Schizosaccharomyces pombe: one gene and its partners. The protein of the gene in region 3 interacts with the protein of the main gene of each other region in a pairwise test. Each region holds a gene or a part of one and is shown on either strand. Other genes may lie near its edges. The genes, in order: sen15, nce103, SPOM_SPAC3G6.07 and pop5.

Region 1 (4,377 bases), 2.0 Mb from region 3:
AGCTCCAATTTGAGTGCTTCTTTTCTGATGTTTACCGCGTACGGTGCCATTTGAGATGTACTTTCTAATTCTGTTTTCTAGTAATGCTGAACTTGGGGAAGTGTTGCGCACGATGCGTAGCGTAGAGGATAGATTTAATAAGAGGTTTCATTATCCTTGGACGTTTTACGGCATGGATGAGTTTACGGAATACTTTATGAGTACGACAAGCACGATTGCGTCTGGTCATTGTGAATACGGTACGAAGGGAATAACTTATACCAATCATTTACAATTTATTCTAACTATCTCTTACTTAGTGCATTGGGATCTTTCTCAAGTAAAACCCCTAGTTGAAAACAATCGACTTTATCAACAACGAGCAGATGCACTTGCTCAAGAGAATCTATCTTACGTATACTCTCCTTTGTTTCACAGTTTTCAAGATTGGGTAGTTCGATCTTTATTATATCATCCTCAATTGGAATACGATTATGTTTGGAGAATAGAACCCGGGCTCAAATTGGTTTGTGAAGAAAAAAAGTAAGAAACTCGGTAAAACTTGTTTATTTCGTTCTTCTTTTTCAGGAAACCTAACTAATATTTTTGTTCAGAGATATATTTTCTACTTTCAAAGACAGCGACATTGTATTTACAAACCACGTCTGTGAACGTAAACACTCTGGTATATATGCTATGGAAGAGGCAATTGAAGAATACAAAATTTTAAACACTCAAGGAGATTTCAGCAATATCTGGGTTTATAGTAACAACTACACCTATTGTAAATACTGGCCTTTTAATGAAATTTTATCTCTAAAGCAAATTCGGCATAATCAGACCTACACCAACCTAATTAATTACTTGCTTGGTTCAGGAGGAACATATTATCATCGCTGGAGTAAGTAAATTGCTTCTTCAATTTTGGAAATGACTTTATTTAACCTGTTTCTAATATAAATGCTTCACGTTGTACTTTTTGCTGACATTTATTTAGCCGAGTCTGATATCCTTTCAGCAGCATTTGGTGTTTTAAGAGCGCGTGCTAATCATATGGAATCAGTGGGATTTTTCTTAAACGATGATGTTCATTATTGCCCAGAAACTATTCCATACACAGGAAGATGTGCATGTTTGTGATATTAATTGATGAATGAGCTTTACAGAAAATTTTTGTTCATACGAATTTGTTTTATGAAAGTTATTGTAATATGTGCATTTTCATTTACAAACGTTGAGACACTTGAAGTGAAAAATTAATCTGGTAGTGGTAAAATTATAGCGTTGTCTTTCCGTTTTTCAATCCTAATCAATAAATATGTATATATCATGTGTTTATTCTTCATCATTTTGCCTTGGTTTTATAAGTCCATCGGTGATCTTGTAATATACTATCGTTGAGTCAGAACACATGATTCCCAGGTATAGGAAAAACTCATCTCCAGAAAGACCTCGAGCATCCTTTACAAGTGGAAGGCTCAGTTTCTTCATAGAATCGAAAACAGAGGACAGAAACTCGATCGAAATTGTCTCTTGGAGGTAAAGCGGCAGAACATATTGCAATTTGTCTTTGAGCTGTCCATTTACGGGAATCCCTGAGAGTAAAGGCCTTTTTGTTTTTAAGTCAATATCAAGAACATGTACCTTTAATTCACACCAACGTTGACCGAGCCTTAAGTCGGTTTCCACTGCTCTCAGTATTCCATAGTATGGATTTTGCTTTTGCTCTTCTACAGCATCGTTAGGGAGAAATGTATTATGTTGCATGTGTATTTGTTTATAATAAATATATCTTTACTTTTGAGAAGGAAAATTTTGTTGAAAAAATGAATTATCGCCTCCGTGATAAAACTTTTAACTTCAACCAAATGGCACAGAAAAGGAACAAGCAGTCAAAAAAGCCTAAACAGACTTCAAAAGGAGTTAAGAAATCCTCAAAACAAAACAAAAACTCCTCTAAAAACAACAAATACCAACAAAACGTCCTTTTACAGAGTATTGATGATTACAACACTACGCAGAGCGTACTAAGAAGTGCTCATAATAGCGGTTCGAAGATGAGCGATATATCCAATTCGATCCAGCTTCTTTCCATGACCAAAAAGCAGGAGAATTAATTCCTGAGCTATTTTCGTTTCATGGTTCATTTCGCAGTTTTGGCATTGGCCATTGTCTGAACTTATAATGTTTTTACTGGGTTTCGGGTTTACTTTTAAAATTTTCTTGTTTTTATTTTGCATACTTAATTTTTATGAAATTTTATTTTATTATACTTGTATTATTTGTAAATAATTGTGGTTTGTATCTAATTGTGTTAGTAGTAGTTTCTGATTTTTTACAATAAGAACGCACAAATCCTATTCCTAGAACTACATTCCACCTGCCCTCAACCTAAACCTACTGTTGGGTCATAGAATCGAAGTCGAACGTAGTGTTTGAATTTTTTAACTATCACTTCGTTTACATAATACATTTGTGTAAAAATTGAAGGGTTTCTAACTTTTTGACTAAGGGAGATACCTAAATTTTGGAAAGAATTGTTTATTAGAAAACTGCTTCATTTTTTTTGTATAATCAGGCCTAAAAAGAAAAAAAAATCTTTTTTCCTCACTAATATCTTTACTTAGTTAGCATTATGTCTGCTCAAAAGTTGAATTTGGAGGATGTTAATGCTTCTACAAAAAAATATTCTAGAGGGCGCAAGCTGAATCCAAAGAAAATCAAGGATAAAAAGCTTCGAAGCAATATTCAGAAAATCGAGGAGAGAATTGAGAATGTTGAGTCTTCCTTGGCGAAAACCGAAATCTTACATGAAGATAATCCCGGTCTTTTGGAAGCCGAGGGCCTTGAAAGGACATACAAGTTTCGTCAAGATCAACTGGCTCCTAATGTTGCACTTGAGACGGCTACAAAGTCTTTCTCCTTGGATTTGGATAAGTTTGGTGGTTACTCATTTGATTATACAAGAGATGGAAGAATGATTTTATTAGGTGGAAGAAAAGGTCATATTTCCGCGTTTGACTGGCGTACTGGTAAATTACTCACAGAGCTACATTTAAGAGAGACCGTTCGAGATGTTAAATGGTTTCATAACCATCAATATTTTGCTGTTGCACAAAAGAAGTATGTTTACGTTTACGATAATATGGGAACAGAAATTCACTGTTTGAAGCGGCATATCGAAGTGAATGCTCTAGATTTTTTGCCATATCACTTACTATTGACCAGTATTGGCAATGCTGGCTATTTGAAATACCAAGATGTCTCTACTGGACAATTGGTTGCAGAACACCGTACCGGAATGGGTGCTAGCCATGTATTACATCAAAATCCCCATAACGCTGTTGAACATGTTGGTCATGCAAATGGCCAGGTTACCCTCTGGTCTCCATCTTCAACTACACCTCTTGTCAAAATGCTTACTCATCGCGGGCCTGTACGTGATTTGGCAGTAAATCGTGATGGCAGATATATGGTTACCGCTGGTGCCGATAGTTTACTGAAAGTTTGGGACCTTCGAACTTACAAAGAGCTTCACTCCTATTACACCCCTACACCTGCTCAGCGCTTAACCCTCAGTGACCGGGGATTGCTAGCCGTTGGATGGGGACCACATGCTACGATTTGGAAAGATGCCTTACGAACTAAACAAAATTTTCCATACATGAATCATCTGCTTCCCTCTTCATCCGTTGTTGATCTTCATTATTGTCCGTATGAGGATATTTTAGGTATCGGACATGCAAAGGGATTCGAAAGCATCATTGTTCCTGGATCTGGTGAACCCAATTATGATTCATATGAAAACGATCCTTTTGCTTCTCGAAAACAACGTCAAGAAACTGAAGTTCGCCAACTTTTGGAGAAGCTTCGCCCAGAAATGATTTCTTTGAATGCTGATTTTATCGGTAATGTTGATAGAGCTGCACCGTCGCTTCGAAAGGCTGAAGCCGAGGAAGAAAAGCCGCCTGAAGAAAAATGGGTACCAAAGGCAAAAGCCCGTGGTAAAAACTCTGCTTTACGAAGATATTTACGCAAACATGCCAGAAACGTTGTTGACCAACGTCGTCTCAAAGTTGAAAAATCTTTAGAGATAGAGAAAAAAATGCGTGCTCAGCGTGTTCGTCGCGAGCAAAAACTTCCAGAGGAACGGGAAAAATGGGGATATGCTTTATCAAGATTTGTTTCCAAAAAATAATTCGGTTGTGTATAATACTTGGGCTAATAATAAGAATATTTGCATTAGATTTTGCCAATTACATATGACTATGTGATGTATAAGGTATTTAGGGTTACGGATTTATTGTATTAAATATGTCTCACAAAAAAAATAAAATGCCTATTTGAAAAATTGTACATTGTGCAAGCATATATAAATGTAAAACAAGGATCATCCTA
Region 2 (4,856 bases), on a different chromosome or scaffold from region 3:
TATTTTTTTTCTTGTTATTGTCCAAGGTGTGAGAACGACCACACTACAAAAGAAACAGATGGTTCAAAATGGATGGGACGACTTCGCAACTCTAAATCGCTTATGAAAAATTTAGCAATGGCCAGGGACTTATGGTCCTGTGGTTGGAAACAAACCGCTTTTCCTTGGTCCAATCTTTTACATCATATTAAACTAGGAATGCTTGATGAGTCTAATTTCAATGGTGCGTTTGCCGCTTTATATCTGAAAAGTAGTGCTGATGAATTTTTGGATGCACTTCATGTGGTTGATGAGTATCAATTACTGCTTTTGGGAAAGCAAGTGGCTATGGAAGTAAAGCATTTAATGTTTCCTAATGACAAACCTTTGGAGATGGAGTTCCCGTCCAGCTCTCAACCTCAGCAGACTGTACCTACCAATAACTCGTTATTTTTATTGAAGAATATACCATCATTTGGAGGGTTACACCACTGTATTTTGGGCCGCTATTCTATTTCCCTTGATGATTTTGTTTTGTGGCTTTTAGATAGGGCTCAAAGGCTACAGCAAGCAGTTAGAATAAGTCATCCTTCGACCACATTTTGTTCAAATGTGGAAAATGACATTAAAGAAATATTTGAGGTTTGTAAAGACTATTGCATGCTTCATGTTCAAAACAATTTGAAAGCATTTGAAGAAAAATTATGGGCCGCTTGTAAAGACTTCCTAGTAACATACTAAATAAAATTTATTATTCTCGAAACAACGACTTGCTTTACAAGTGTAAAGTCTCTTATATTCAAATCAACAACACGGGGCACCAGTGGTACATTAACATTTAAAGTAAGCTAAAATTACATTTATCAAACGAAAAATACTATTACGAATGGAGCACTAAAAAAAAATTGGTAAAATAAAACCAACACGGCGATTTATTTTTATGAAAGCGTAATGAAAACAAGGGATCATTTGGTTTAGTCGAAAAGACCGAAACCCATCTAAAATTGTTAGTAAGATGCTTTTGAGAAACAAAGAATGCTTCTTATCTAAAATTAACTTACGTCTTCATCAGATTCCTCCTCTTCCTTGGCTTCCTCCTTAGCAGCCTCCTCAGCAGCAGGGGCAGCACCGCCAGCAGCGGCGGCAGGAGCAGCAGAAGCAGCACCACCAGTGGGGACAGTAGCAAGCTTCTCGTTACCAGCAGCGATGAGCTCGTCGATATCCTTACCGTTAAGCTCGTTGATCAAAGTTTCAATGCGCTCAGATTCAGCTTCAATACCGACAGTAGACAAAACAGACTCGATATCAGAAGCGGAAGGGGAGTCCTTTCCACCAACGGTCAAGAGTAAATAAGCTGCAAGGTACTTCATTTTGACGAGGAGTGCAGTGCGTGTTGATGGCAGAAAGTATTAAGCATTCACAACACTAAGGGACTCGAAACTTTTGTGACTGGTTTTCGAGTTAGGTTAGGGTATGTGTTTGAGTGGAATGCTGCGATGATTTCTAAGGTTTGTTATATTCGTTTAGTTGACGAGCACGATATTTACAAGCTTTTTCTACAAGTTCAAATCAACCTAAATAGTTGTTAGTTAAGGGCGTGCTAATTATTTTTATAATAGTAAGAAAACCGTATGCACAAAGAGGCATAATTAATGTCATACACGTATTTGAGTTTATCAATGGGAATTGAAACAAACATATTAATGTTTGGTAAACTGACGGTTTAAATATAACTTCAAGTGCTTAACTTACTGGCCGAGACTTGAAATAGCTGTATAAGCTATTGAATAAATTTTCTCAATTGTCTTTACTTTCATTTCATTCCTCCTATTATGGGTAACAATGGGCAATTGTTTTTTTTTCGTCTTTTTTTATAGTAATGTCAGCGGTGCCCATGTTAACAAATGTTTCAATCTACAAAACCTAATTATCGCTTAATTTAATTTTAGATTAACTTAATCGAAAACACGTATAACGATAAGACGATATACTCGTAATTGATAAATGACGGATTCTTCTCCAATAATTTTGTGTTTAGAAAAAAAAAATTTCGCACGGTTGCGAAATCTTTATGGCTGTCAACATTTTATTCATATTTGGGACAATTTGCAATTTTAAGCCAATCGTATCCGGTTTTTTGTTAACTGCGAAGCCGTCAAAACTATCCGTAGGTAGTCCCTTGCAAAGATCTAGCAAAATAAATTACATTATATAATAGATAAACCAATAAACCTTACCTACTCGACGGACGGGACGGCTTGTTATCGGAGTATTAGCTATACATCAAAGTTCATCATCATAGCTTTGCTCACATCACAAACGTTTCCATTTTTGTCGTGTGGTATAAAAACGTATCATGCTCCCACCATTCGGTGCTTTGACAACTACAAAAATTCCGCTTCCAAAAACCATACTCCAGTCTACCTTTAACCAAATAAAAAGTAGCAGCTACTCGATAATAGCGGCTCCGCGGTTAACATCGAGATTCATTCGTTTTCCTTGTAATTATAATAGTTGTTTACAATCCATATCTTTTTCATCGCTTGGAAGAAAAAGATTGTTTTTTTCGTCTAGTCAATTGTTAGAGAAAAGTGATAAAAAAAAGAAAATGCCTGATAGATTGAAACGTCGTATTGAGGAAATCGATCATCAAGACGAGATAATCGACAGAGAAGCTTCAACCGCTTCTCCCGTTTCTGGCGCTGGTAAAATTGACCAGAATGGGGAAATCAAAGATTTGCTTGAACGCAATCTGACTTGGTCACAACAAACTAGCAGAAAGTACCCATCCTTTTTTACAGCCACCAAAGATATTCAAACTCCTCAAGTTCTTTGGATCGGATGTTCAGATTCTCGTGTTCCTGAGACCACCATTCTGAATTTACTTCCAGGTGAAGTCTTCGTTCATCGAAACATTGCCAATGTCGTTCCTCGTTCTGACATTAATGCTTTAGCTGTTATGGAGTACTCCGTGACCGTATTAAAGGTTAAGCACATCATTGTCTGTGGCCATTATGGATGCGGTGGTGTCGCTGCTGCTCTTGGTCCTAATTTAAACAATTTGTTGGATCATTGGTTGCGACACATCCGTGATGTTATCGAAGACAATCGTGAAGAACTTGACGCCATTGAAGATCCCCAACTTCGTCGCCTTAAACTTGCCGAACTTAATACTCGTGCTCAAGCAATTTCTGTAACCCGGGTTGGCTTTGTTCGTGAAGCAATGGAAAAGCGTGGCTTACAAGTTCATGGCTGGATTTACGATCTTTCCAATGGTCAAATCAAAAAATTGGATATCACGGACGCCATCAAAAAGGCCAAATACGGTACTTATGATAGTTAATTTCACTGGAAGTTTTCTCAACCTCGACTTGGTTACGATTGATTTATGTGAGTTTTTCTGTTTGTTTTTTTTGTTTAGATTTTTACTATCTCCGATTGGTTCAAGTATTTAAAAGTTTTGTAATAAGTTTATACCTTTTGATGAAGTATGGCATATCGAACGAACTGCGCATTTGTCGCCGTGTCTTGAATTAGTTATATAATGATTGACAAGACGGACGATACCTTAGATGAAAATCGATATAGCAATAGTAAATATAGTTTCATTGACTGTGTTAATTCGTGTAAATAAAAACAACTTGTAATATTAGATAAATTCCTATCAAAAGAGTCAACAAACACATGGCCGTTGTGCTTACATTAACATTCAAGATAACCTCAATTAGCTCAAGCAGTAGCTTTATTATATTTTTCGCGGGTCCATATATACTATAACTATTTTGAAGGATTATAAATTCGCTTTTGAAATCAAAATAAGTGTAGTTTTGTCTAGGTTCAAAATCGAAGCCTCCATTTTGACTAAAATAAAATGAACCATCGAATAATAATGTACTGTTTGTGTATACAATGGTTTGAAATTCAACCAGTGTACGTGAATCGGTGGGCGGTAAAAATTGGGGAAGATAAACACGATATTTAAATAAATTATAGCGTTCGGGTTTAATTAATATTCCTATCTCCAATAAAAGTATTTGTTTTCTCGAAGTAGTTCGAAAAAAATATGTGCCATCCTTGCAAAAAAAATTAGCTTCACAATTATCCACATAAGCCCAGGAAATCCACATATTTTTTGATAGTTTTACCCCATATACATCCCTTTCCCTGGCGTCATTAAATATATAGGAAGAAGAAAAATGCAAAAAATATTCATGCTTGCTTATTTGTAGTATTTTAATTGTTGGACGCAATAAATGAAACTCCTGGGTAGGATAATTAGTTTTAATTTGCAAATTCCTATTAACCTTTTTCAGAAGTTTGAAATGGCAGTAATCAGAGATTTCTTGAATTTGGAGTACAGGATTTGTAAGCAGTCGCCAGTCTGCTAAAAGTTTGAACTTTAAATAAATATCATAATACTCCAATAATTGTTTAAAACAGAATCTGTTATCACCCTTAACATATTTAATCACCGGTAATTTTAATGCAGTTTCATAAACGAGTCTTTCTGAAAGTATTACAGACAACTCCAAAGTCTTTGTCGCTTCAGTAACTTTCACACATTGAACGTCAATAAAACTGATTACAGTTTGCTCAGGGGTTTGAGATTTACTGAAATGTAATCTAGTGTTTTCGATATAGATGTTTTCAATAGTGCAGGTAGGAGAAGCAGATAGAATCAATTGACTTCCTGATGAAGGTTTTTCGTTCAATAATACGAGAATATTGTACTCTAATTTCTGGTAAGCTGCACATATTCTTGGTCGGATGGTTGTCTCTGTCAAAATTATATTTAACTGACTCTGTTTGTAATTGATCCAAGAGAGTCTGAATGGAATGCAATGATTAAACTGGAATAAAAGCGATTGAAACATAGA
Region 3 (3,849 bases):
GACCAACAAGGATAAAATTTTGAAAAATTGTACAGAAAACTGGACATATCATTTTGTTGAGTGGGTGTTGGATTTTTTGGAAAATTGGCGGCCATTGCATGTAAGAACGTCCAAGTACTCCTTCCAAGTTCAGCGACATCTGGAAGCCTGGGAAACGATACGCTATCTGGGATTGCATTGGTATTGCAATCTATAGATGATTGTTTGCTTTCAAGCTGGGTATTTGACTTTACTTCAGGGACAGTGCTACTATTAGGTTGTTGAGCAACATTTCGAAAGGAAGAAAATATGTTACATGTTTTACAAGGTCTCCCGTTTTCGTCGTAAATAATTCCTGTCTCCTTATCGCGATATCTTTTTCCAAAAACCATTTTAACTTGATTGAGAAATAAGGAACGGACAATACCAAATTTTTACCTACAAATGATTCTGTCAGTAGCATTCGACAGCCAAATATGTATGATGCTCAATTTACAAGTTAAATTCATCTACTTTTAACCAAATAATTATATAACGTAGTACTTCAGCGCCGTTGATTACTAACAAAGGCATTTGAAAACACCACTGTTAAATATGGAACTGTTGCGAATTTCGCTGTTTTTCTTGTCCAAAGGCTTATGGCTTAAAATCGTATTTATTAAAACTTGTAATAAGCTAATTTGAGTTGTCTAGATGTAAACATTTATCACGTAAAACTAGTCCTTTAATAAATTGAAGATTTGAACTATAAAGCGTACTGTGTGAAATTAGGAAAGTATTATAAGTTTATCGCATAAAAGTTTGAAAACCATACCTAATTTTAGGAGCCAACCCTGAATTTATTTTTTTTTTTATTCTTATTTTTTTTTTTGTAAGACTAAACATAATACATTCAAACCTAGTGCATCAATAATCGAGAATAAAACTCGAATAACATTTTGAACCCTTTTTGCAATGAACAAGATTCATTCTTTGTAATCAAATGTAAATTCGAAAAGTAATGTAATATTAAGGAATGTTTCCTTAACTCGATTTGGGATCAACAAATAGAGGTTCAACTTTGATTATATCACTGTGCATACTATAACATGTATTTTTTTAAGTTTGTTTTTTCAAAAGGTTACAGATCGATTTACTAAGCTACAAAATTCAAAAAACTTAAAAAATTCAATACTTGCAAAGCAAAGAAGCAGAAAAAAAGATCCAAAAAAAAAGGATTACATTTATTTTGTTGAATTTATTATTTTTTTTAAAAAATAAATAACTTAACTAATGAATCACTATTTAGCAATTCTCTTTAGATTTGAATCCATAAAAATCATAACAATAAGCGAAGCAATATAACTGGTATTTGCTTATAAAATGAGCGATTCATGCAAGCAGAAAGTTCTTTAAAAACAAAAGAAAACATTAAAATAGATTTAGCACTTCACTTTGGCGTTATAATATCTCCATGTTTTTTTACATGATCACGATACACTCGATATGGTAAAACCAGTGTATACTTTGGCATAACAAAATCATCTCCAACAAACGATTCATCCTCAACATATGTTTTAAGAAATTGTAACACTTCGGTTTGATCAGCTTTAGTGAGGTCGATGTATATATACAACAAATATGAAAATTGGAAAATGGTATTAGCAGTTGCTTTATAAACCACAAACGATTGGTAATATTGTCTACCTTTGTTATAATAGTCTATAACATCAGGAATAACACTGTTTTTTTCCTTTTCATTAGAGACATCTTCTCCTTCGTAATCGGCAGGTGCCAATGTTAAGTATGGCGAGCTTTGTTCAGACATTGTTCTTGCTTTCACAGGTAAATTGAGGTTGCACTGGGATATGAGTATACTGTAAGCAAGGCGCGCAGCATCTCATATAATATTCTTTCAACGAGCCGACATTAACTAGAATTTGCCAACGTAAGATCAGAATGACGTTTTGATCCGCACGAAATACGTCGGTAAAGGAACCTTATTAGTAGAATATTGCAATATTGTTCGTTGTCTGCATACTACACAAGCGATACCATAAACTGGTTACGATTATATTTTCGACGATTCAGTAGCAGATATGGCGAGTTTCAAATAATACTCTCTTGGTAAAATGCCTATTATCCAACATTGTTCCATGAATCAAGGCTATTGTTCTATTAAAAATATTACGTTGAGCAATTCAAGCGGCTTTCTCACTACGGTATCTCAGTACCGTAAAACCACTGGTTTATTCTCATAAAAACAACCTTATGTTACACAGACTTACATCTAGCCAAGTCAATAGGGTTTCGGTAAAGTTCCAATGTACTTTTCATCCTATTCCTTATCCGGAAAAAGGAATCGATCATTTTTCCAGAATTTCTGATGGTACATTACCTTTTCGAGATCTTTTCGTGGTAGTAAACTGCGAGGTGATTTACATTTTACAGCCGTGCTGCCACCAAAACCACAAGAACCTCAATTTGGTAATCTTAAAATTTCTAATTTGTTCCTTCTAGAAATCCTTTTTTAAAAGCTATAATACATGGGAATTTTCAGTATAAATTGGCTGGTCCCTTTCCTTGTATTTACATTCTTTGGTCGATCATTCTTTATGGAAAAGTAACATGTGATTTACTGAATCGACTCTTTGACGTGGATACTACTGCTGGTAGCTAAGAACCTTTGTGTGAGTGAGCAAAGTAAAAACTGCTCGATTTTGAGGAGTATAATACATCTAGCAAAAATTGAAAATTTAATAAGAAGCTCTAAGCTAGTTTTGGAGAAAGCGTTGTTCGGGATCTCGTAATATACATAAATAAGTATATTTGCTAAACGATGGGAATTAAAGGTATGTTACATTTAACGCTAAAGAGTTTATCTTTTACTCTCTCCTTTACTTAAAACTAATCTGGGTTAGGTTTGGCTCAAGTACTAAGCGAGCATGCCCCAGCCAGTGTCAAACATAATGATATTAAAAATTATTTTGGACGGAAAGTGGCTATAGATGCGTAAGTTGAAAGACTAAATAGAAAGCGAAAGTCTCAGTTGACTTGGCAAAGACTGTATGGCTTCTGATTTTGTTTGTAAATATGGGTTAAACACTATGGTGTACAGTTTTTATTGCTAAAGAGCAAAGCTCTATGTCTTAACTCGAGACAAAGATATGATACAAACGAAATATAGAATAAAGGATGAATAAATTTTCACTAACAGTGACTCGGTTAAATTCATTGCTCAAGGTATTTTACATCATTTCTTTACTTTGTTGGTTCTTGAAGTTGCAAACACTAATAGGTCAAACTCTATTCAACTGATTCTTTCCTTTTCGAAGGGTTGATTTATAAAGTCTTCTTGAGGTACTTTATTAATGCTAATTTCGTATATTACAGGTCAATGAGTCTTTATCAATTTTTAATTCAAGTTCGCAGTCAAGATGGTCAACAGCTAATGAATGAACAAGGCGAGACTACTAGTCATTTAATGGGAATGTTTTATCGTACACTCCGAATTGTCGATAATGGAATAAAGCCTTGCTTTGTCTTTGATGGAAAACCACCAACATTGAAGTCAGGGGAATTAGCTAAACGTGTGGCCCGACATCAAAAAGCACGAGAGGATCAAGAGGAGACAAAAGAGGTTGGTACAGCTGAAATGGTGGATCGGTTTGCCAAACGTACGGTCAAAGTTACTCGGCAACATAATGACGAAGCAAAACGTTTACTAGAGTTAATGGGAATTCCCTTCGTTAACGCACCCTGTGAAGCAGAAGCTCAATGTGCCGCTTTAGCCCGTTCAGGAAAAGTTTATGCTGCTGCTTCTGAGGACATGGACACATTGTGCTTCCAAGCTCCTGTACTTTTGAGACACCTGACATTTAGTGAGCAAAG
Region 4 (5,638 bases), on a different chromosome or scaffold from region 3:
CTATGGGATCCGTTCAATAGTACATACCATCAGGACCCACACTATTCAAAAACCATTTCCTACTTTTGTTAACTTTTATAAAATTCACAATCTGCATTCACATACACATAAGGACCAGGGAGTCCATTCATTGCCTTATAGCCTAGCCATGTGTCCTCGACTAAAACAGGTCCTTTAACCTATTAGCGTTAGAAGGTTGCTCCGATAAAATGAAGAATGACAAAGAGAAGTAAAAACAAGATTCAATCGAATAACCATTGCGATAATAATTCGTTGCATTGATCAGCATAATCCTAAACCATCATTTGAACTTACAATTTCAGCGGCAGCTTTACATTTTTCTAAAACAACTTCCTTGACGCTTCCTTGGATTTCCGGTACTTTAAAACATCATGTTAGCGATAATTTGCTGTCGAGAAAATTGAATAGCTGCATACAATCGTAATCATGGTTTTTGATTTCAAATCGGTCACCAAGGATATTCTTTACATCTGCCAGTTTATGTTTATTTCCTGTGACGAATAAAATAGACTGTAGTACTATGGGACAGCAATCTTGTTAGTTATCATTCCGCTGAAAAATATTGAAGATGCAGATACCGCACATTAATTAATTATGAAGAATCCTTCCAAAATTGACTTACTTGTCATCTTGATATCCTGTCGTTTTTAGAGTATACTATATTCTATAACAATTAACGACTCTTAACAGCTGTTGAAATTGGTGAAAAGGTAAGTTGCTTCTTATACATTGGTTCATCGTATGTGTCCTCAAATATTTTTTATAAGAATAAACTCATAAAAAATATACTATATACGCTTATATATTGTTATTTTACTAAAGCGCGCGATCTTGGAAAATTGTCAATTTACCATGTAAGACAATAAATGAGTTGTACAACAAATGCGTAAATCAAAAGTATTAGGAAAAAGGTTGGTTTACGTAAAAACAATAGCTGAAAGATTTTTTAGTCTTAAAAAAATAACCAATCTTTTAAAATTTTGGAGCAAAATATACACCAAATTTAGTAAACATGTAAGCGAACTCTCTTCACAAGTAAATGCAAGCAACTCTTGACATTTGTATACCACCTGCTTAAATCGTTAACAAAAAAATTTTTATATTCTTCTACTTAATACAAACCAACATGACCTAAAAAGTGCGTTGAGTTACACGAACCTTTGGAAATTTACGTATCATCGAAAATTCATAGCTATGAATTCGAAATAATTATTAATAATTATTTATTCCCAAAGATCTGGGAAAATTAAAAAAGCTTTCTCAAATTGCAACTTATTAATTTTTATTAATTCCAATTTTAATTGAATTTACATATATTTTTTATTTTCATTTGAGTTGAAAAGTCTTTCCTTTTCAATCCTGCAGTATTTCAAAAATTATTACTCTTAATTTAAATTTTTTTTATCTACCCATGTTTTATTAATATTACATTCTTTACCTACATCCTTTTTATTATGAAGGCCAAAAAAAGTTTACTAAAGTTCCATTTTTTATAGATCATCATACCTATATGAATAAAGATTACATTTCATCAGAATAAATTTAAATTTAATCAATGTTATCCTTTGACTACTAACTACGATAATTATCCCATTGTATATTAATCAGTAGAATGGGAGGAATGCTTTACAACTTCTTCCCATGACAAATTCATATATCAATTGAAGCTAATATTCATGGTCATATATAAAGCAATATCAAGTAGATACAGGGTAACGTTTTCTACTGAATAATCGAGGTGTTAATGCTCTGACTTAGTTCATGATTCCACTGAATGTACGAATGATTTCATTGATTTGTATATTCTGACTGTTCAGGGATAGATACATGCAAGGAACCAAACGATTAATAAAAAAATAATCATTTTATTTAAAATTTATTCATTTTCTGAGGATGTTGAAATTGTTTCTGATAGACCTCTATAACTGTTTGTTCCAAAGGGATTTAAAGTTAAAAAATGAATGTTTACTGTGTCGTAAGCATGATTATCGTGCATTTAGAATTTGCATGTCTTCTAGTCTAATTATAACCAAATACCATTTACTTAATCTTAAACAAATTATCTACCGCTATGGCAATGTAGCAAAAGCAATTAAACATATTGAAATTTACGACTAATTCTAATCGTTCATTGTAAACACCTGTTAGATAATATGATTTTTTCTTTAAATTTCTATTCCATTAAATCTTAAAAGCAATAAATTATAACACAGACGTCTCTATAAACTGTTTTCTGAGAAATTTATTCGTTGAGCAAGTTACATTTCTCTAACCGGTGTGCAATAAGTAGCAACGTTCATACCCACTACGATCCATTTTTGGGCAATTCCATTTCCAGCATTATTTATTCTTGTTATAGCATAACGATAATTTATTATTATTATTTGTCTCAAAGGTCATATTTCAATCAAAATCGCTGATTAAACTACAAAAAATATATATATCGTAAAACTATGGTTCGCTTCAAATCCCGATATTTACTTTTTGAAGTATTATATCCTGAAGCAAAAGAGTTTTTTGACTATCCTACTATCCCTTCTGATAGTTCTATAACTACGTCTAGTCTTTCTAAAATAATTAGAACCATGGTTGCAGAAAATTTCGGTGATGTTGGTATTGGAAAGGTTGCATCTAGTCTAACTGTAAAATATTTTTCACCTAATACATCTACTGGCATTCTGCGGGTCTCAAGACAGCATTTTCGTTTGGCATGGGCCGCATTAGTTTTAATAAGGGAATTATATGGCAAGCCTGTAATAATTCGCGTGGTTCGTGTATCTGGTACAATAAAAAAGGCAGAATTAGCTGCCATTGAACGAAATAAATCAGAAATTCATAACATCTCTCTGATGGATGAACCTATTGAAGTTTAAACCCTCCATCTTTGGCATTTGCTGGGTTCGCAAGTTTTTACTTTGACTTCACCTCTAAAGATCGAACTCAAGACGAAATTTTTTTTATGCCTTCATGTGCTTCAAACTTATATATTGATTCCTTGGTTTCGTTCCAAAACCCAATTGATGCAGTGTGTGCAGAAAGTTGCTGCTGTATCCACCTTATTTCTCATGGGTATATTCATATAAAACTTTAATTCATTAATCCAGAGAGGAGGCATATGTTTACCCATAGCTGTTTAGATTTTGAAATTGAGGATCTGGGAAGATCTAAATAACAAGTATGCTGCATTTCCATTGCCAAGTATGAGTAAACTCTTTAAACTATACAACTATTCAATCGCCAAAAAAAAATTTGATGAACTTGGAGCTATTAAGTTAATACTTTTCTCTTGGAAAATGAGATATCGTCTGTTTTGGGAATACCTTGTTTACTATTTTCATTGTATCATCTGTTAAGCTTGACAACGGCCAAAAAGAGTTGTATCTACGAATGCATACTTTTGCCCATAAAAAAATAAACATTTACGTATTGGAATGAAAAAAATCATTGCAGGTCTCAGTAAACATCTCATGAATGTGTTTTCTTCGTGGGAAGGTACATCCTTAATATATCCCAATGATTCTAAATTTCCAGCAATCGTTATCAATTTTATTTTTTACAGACAAACGAATAATTTATTTAGCTGTTGACGGATGCTATAATTCTATGTCGTTAAAGACTGTATACACTTTACAGTTTGAAAAGTTTGCTTGACATTTACCGGTGCTTCTACAAGGTCTAAAGTAAGAAAGATAAACCAAAACTATTGTCATTACAACAGTTAACAGTAGCCAAAGACAGCTATAATCCCAACAAACATATAAAAATTCCTTAAATTAGGGGATTTTCTCAAGTAACGATTTTAAAAACCAGATAACAATCCTACTGAGTCAAAGAAGCAACCATATCCTTATAACGAAAACATCAGAAATTACTCAAATGATTAACAATATCAATAAACTAATCTATCAATTATTTTCGATGAACATTACTTCTTCTTATCCTTGATTAACAGCTATGTATGCTATTTTATGATATCTTCTCTTGAAAACCCCAAAAAAACAGTCACATTAAGAAGAATATAAAGGGCACTGTGCTTTCTGCTTTTGCATAGTTCTTTCACCTGGAGTGTGCTCATCTAAATAGTAAATAGGTAAGTTTCATCATTTCACAAATGGAGATTTCAGAGGATGCGAAATATATACCCAAATTGTATAGCAAGGATAACGGGGTAATCGTTTTGGTTGCCTTCTTGCAGTGATAAAGCATTTTGTCATAGTTACACTGATGAAATTCTTCATTTGCTTAAAACTTTTTGGTCTTAAGTTTGAAAATTCTTTACTAATTTTGAAATAGATAAAAGAAGCCGTTTTTAACAGTTAGACACCATCCTATTCTTGAGATGGTTTTTTTATTCGATCCACGAGTTTTTGATAATTACCGATACTATAAATTTAATAAGAAATTAAAAATTTACTTTATTAAGTCAAAACTTGTTTACATTTAGTAGTAATTTAATTACAATTGAAAGAGTAATGTTGGTAGTGATATATATCTATGCAGACTTGTATGTAATGTAGACATTCTTTAAATCAGAGAACCGTAAAGTTCGGTTGTCCTCCTTAACTTTAGATAATGCAACCGTACATATTTTGCAGGGCTTGACTTTAGCGAACTGCATAGTCCAGTTGTTCATGGTTTGGTTAAAACAATACAACGTAGCATACTGTGGAAGTAAATCGCTCATTTTTGCTATGGTTTTTTTACTGTTAAATGCTTTGGTAATGAAGTAAATAAACTTAGACAGAAACACAAGATGACTGTTTGATCGGCTGAAAATACATACGGCAATTCTTTTGAAAATCGGATTGTATTTGTACTATACAGTATCGTATTTACTGCGACTTTCCTATGCACTAATTAATATACCACACTGACGGTACGAAGCGAATGCCTGTAATCGTGACGTTGTTCACTACCACCGATAGAATAAATGCAAACTTATCTTTAGCAAACAACTCCCATATTCTAAGACAAATAGTTCGTTCAAAAGAAAAATTATTGAACACTCAGATAATTTAATTAAGCAGTACCAAAATGTCTTTTCAAGTTCGTGTTAAGCAGAATATGCAAGATTTGGATAACAGGGTATGTTAGCAATAAGGCAGGATATCCGATGGAAGCCGCTTTACGCACTCGGCAATATAGGCTATTATTAGTATCTTGTGATTTTAGAAATTATTCTTTCTATTCAAATTTGTTTACTAACTTTTTTTTCCAGTTGGCAGCCTTTCCTCAACTCAACAGTTTGGAAAAAAATTTTGGTGTTAGCAAGCTTTATGTTTTTCTTACTGCAGCTGGTATATATGCCTTGTTCCTTTTCTTGAACTGGGGTGGATTTTTACTGACCAACCTTCTGGCATTCGCGATGCCTGCCTTCTTTAGTATCAATGCTATTGAAACTACTAACAAGGCCGATGACACTCAATGGTTGACCTATTATTTGGTAACTTCATTCCTCAACGTTATTGAGTACTGGTCTCAGCTAATCCTTTACTATGTCCGTAAGTGTTTAAATTTTTTGTATTTAGAGGCGTGATTATAAGATCATTAAGGATCTAATAAATTTTGCTCTCTGCTTTTAAATTTATTTTTTTTATTTACTAACTGGGGATTTTCC

The links.
Region 1: the proteins of SPOM_SPAC3G6.07 (region 3) and sen15 interact in a two-hybrid assay, tested with the Schizosaccharomyces pombe proteins (one large-scale study listed by BioGRID).
Region 2: the proteins of SPOM_SPAC3G6.07 (region 3) and nce103 interact in a two-hybrid assay, tested with the Schizosaccharomyces pombe proteins (one large-scale study listed by BioGRID).
Region 4: the proteins of SPOM_SPAC3G6.07 (region 3) and pop5 interact in a two-hybrid assay, tested with the Schizosaccharomyces pombe proteins (one large-scale study listed by BioGRID).

What each region holds. Positions count from the first base shown.
Region 1 is NC_003424.3:3,389,628-3,394,004, reverse strand, and holds sen15 (tRNA-splicing endonuclease subunit Sen15), read right to left. Parts: upstream 1,747-4,377; coding exon 1,315-1,746; 3' UTR 1,120-1,314; coding exon of another isoform or gene 977-1,119; 3' UTR 899-976; downstream 1-898. Other genes in the region: alpha-1,2-mannosyltransferase Omh6, read left to right, coding at 56-522, 594-880, 977-1,119; SPOM_SPAC959.11 (uncharacterized protein), read left to right, coding at 1,731-2,096; U3 snoRNP-associated protein Utp7, read left to right, coding at 2,615-4,177. UniProt on the Schizosaccharomyces pombe protein: Non-catalytic subunit of the tRNA-splicing endonuclease complex, a complex responsible for identification and cleavage of the splice sites in pre-tRNA. It cleaves pre-tRNA at the 5' and 3' splice sites to release the intron.
Region 2 is NC_003423.3:3,639,682-3,644,537, reverse strand, and holds nce103 (putative carbonic anhydrase), read left to right. Parts: upstream 1-2,353; 5' UTR 2,354-2,587; coding exon 2,588-3,322; 3' UTR 3,323-3,596; downstream 3,597-4,856. Other genes in the region: histone lysine methyltransferase Set6, read left to right, coding at 1-720; rpp201 (ribosomal protein P2), read right to left, coding at 954-977, 1,041-1,349; protein mug45, read right to left, coding at 3,597-4,856.
Region 3 is NC_003424.3:5,390,210-5,394,058, reverse strand, and holds SPOM_SPAC3G6.07 (uncharacterized protein), read right to left. Parts: upstream 1,835-3,849; 5' UTR 1,787-1,834; coding exon 1,409-1,786; 3' UTR 1,161-1,408; downstream 1-1,160. Other genes in the region: erv1 (sulfhydryl oxidase), read right to left, coding at 1-371; FEN-1 endonuclease Rad2, read left to right, coding at 2,798-2,810, 2,880-2,970, 3,352-3,849.
Region 4 is NC_003421.2:2,196,530-2,202,167, reverse strand, and holds pop5 (Rnase P/MRP subunit Pop5), read left to right. Parts: upstream 1-2,312; 5' UTR 2,313-2,474; coding exon 2,475-2,894; 3' UTR 2,895-4,111; exon of another isoform or gene 4,112-4,314; 3' UTR 4,315-4,442; downstream 4,443-5,638. Other genes in the region: nucleoside triphosphatase Ham1, read right to left, coding at 28-59, 106-179, 316-380, 438-539, 644-650; yop1 (ER membrane protein DP1/Yop1), read left to right, coding at 5,056-5,106, 5,240-5,522.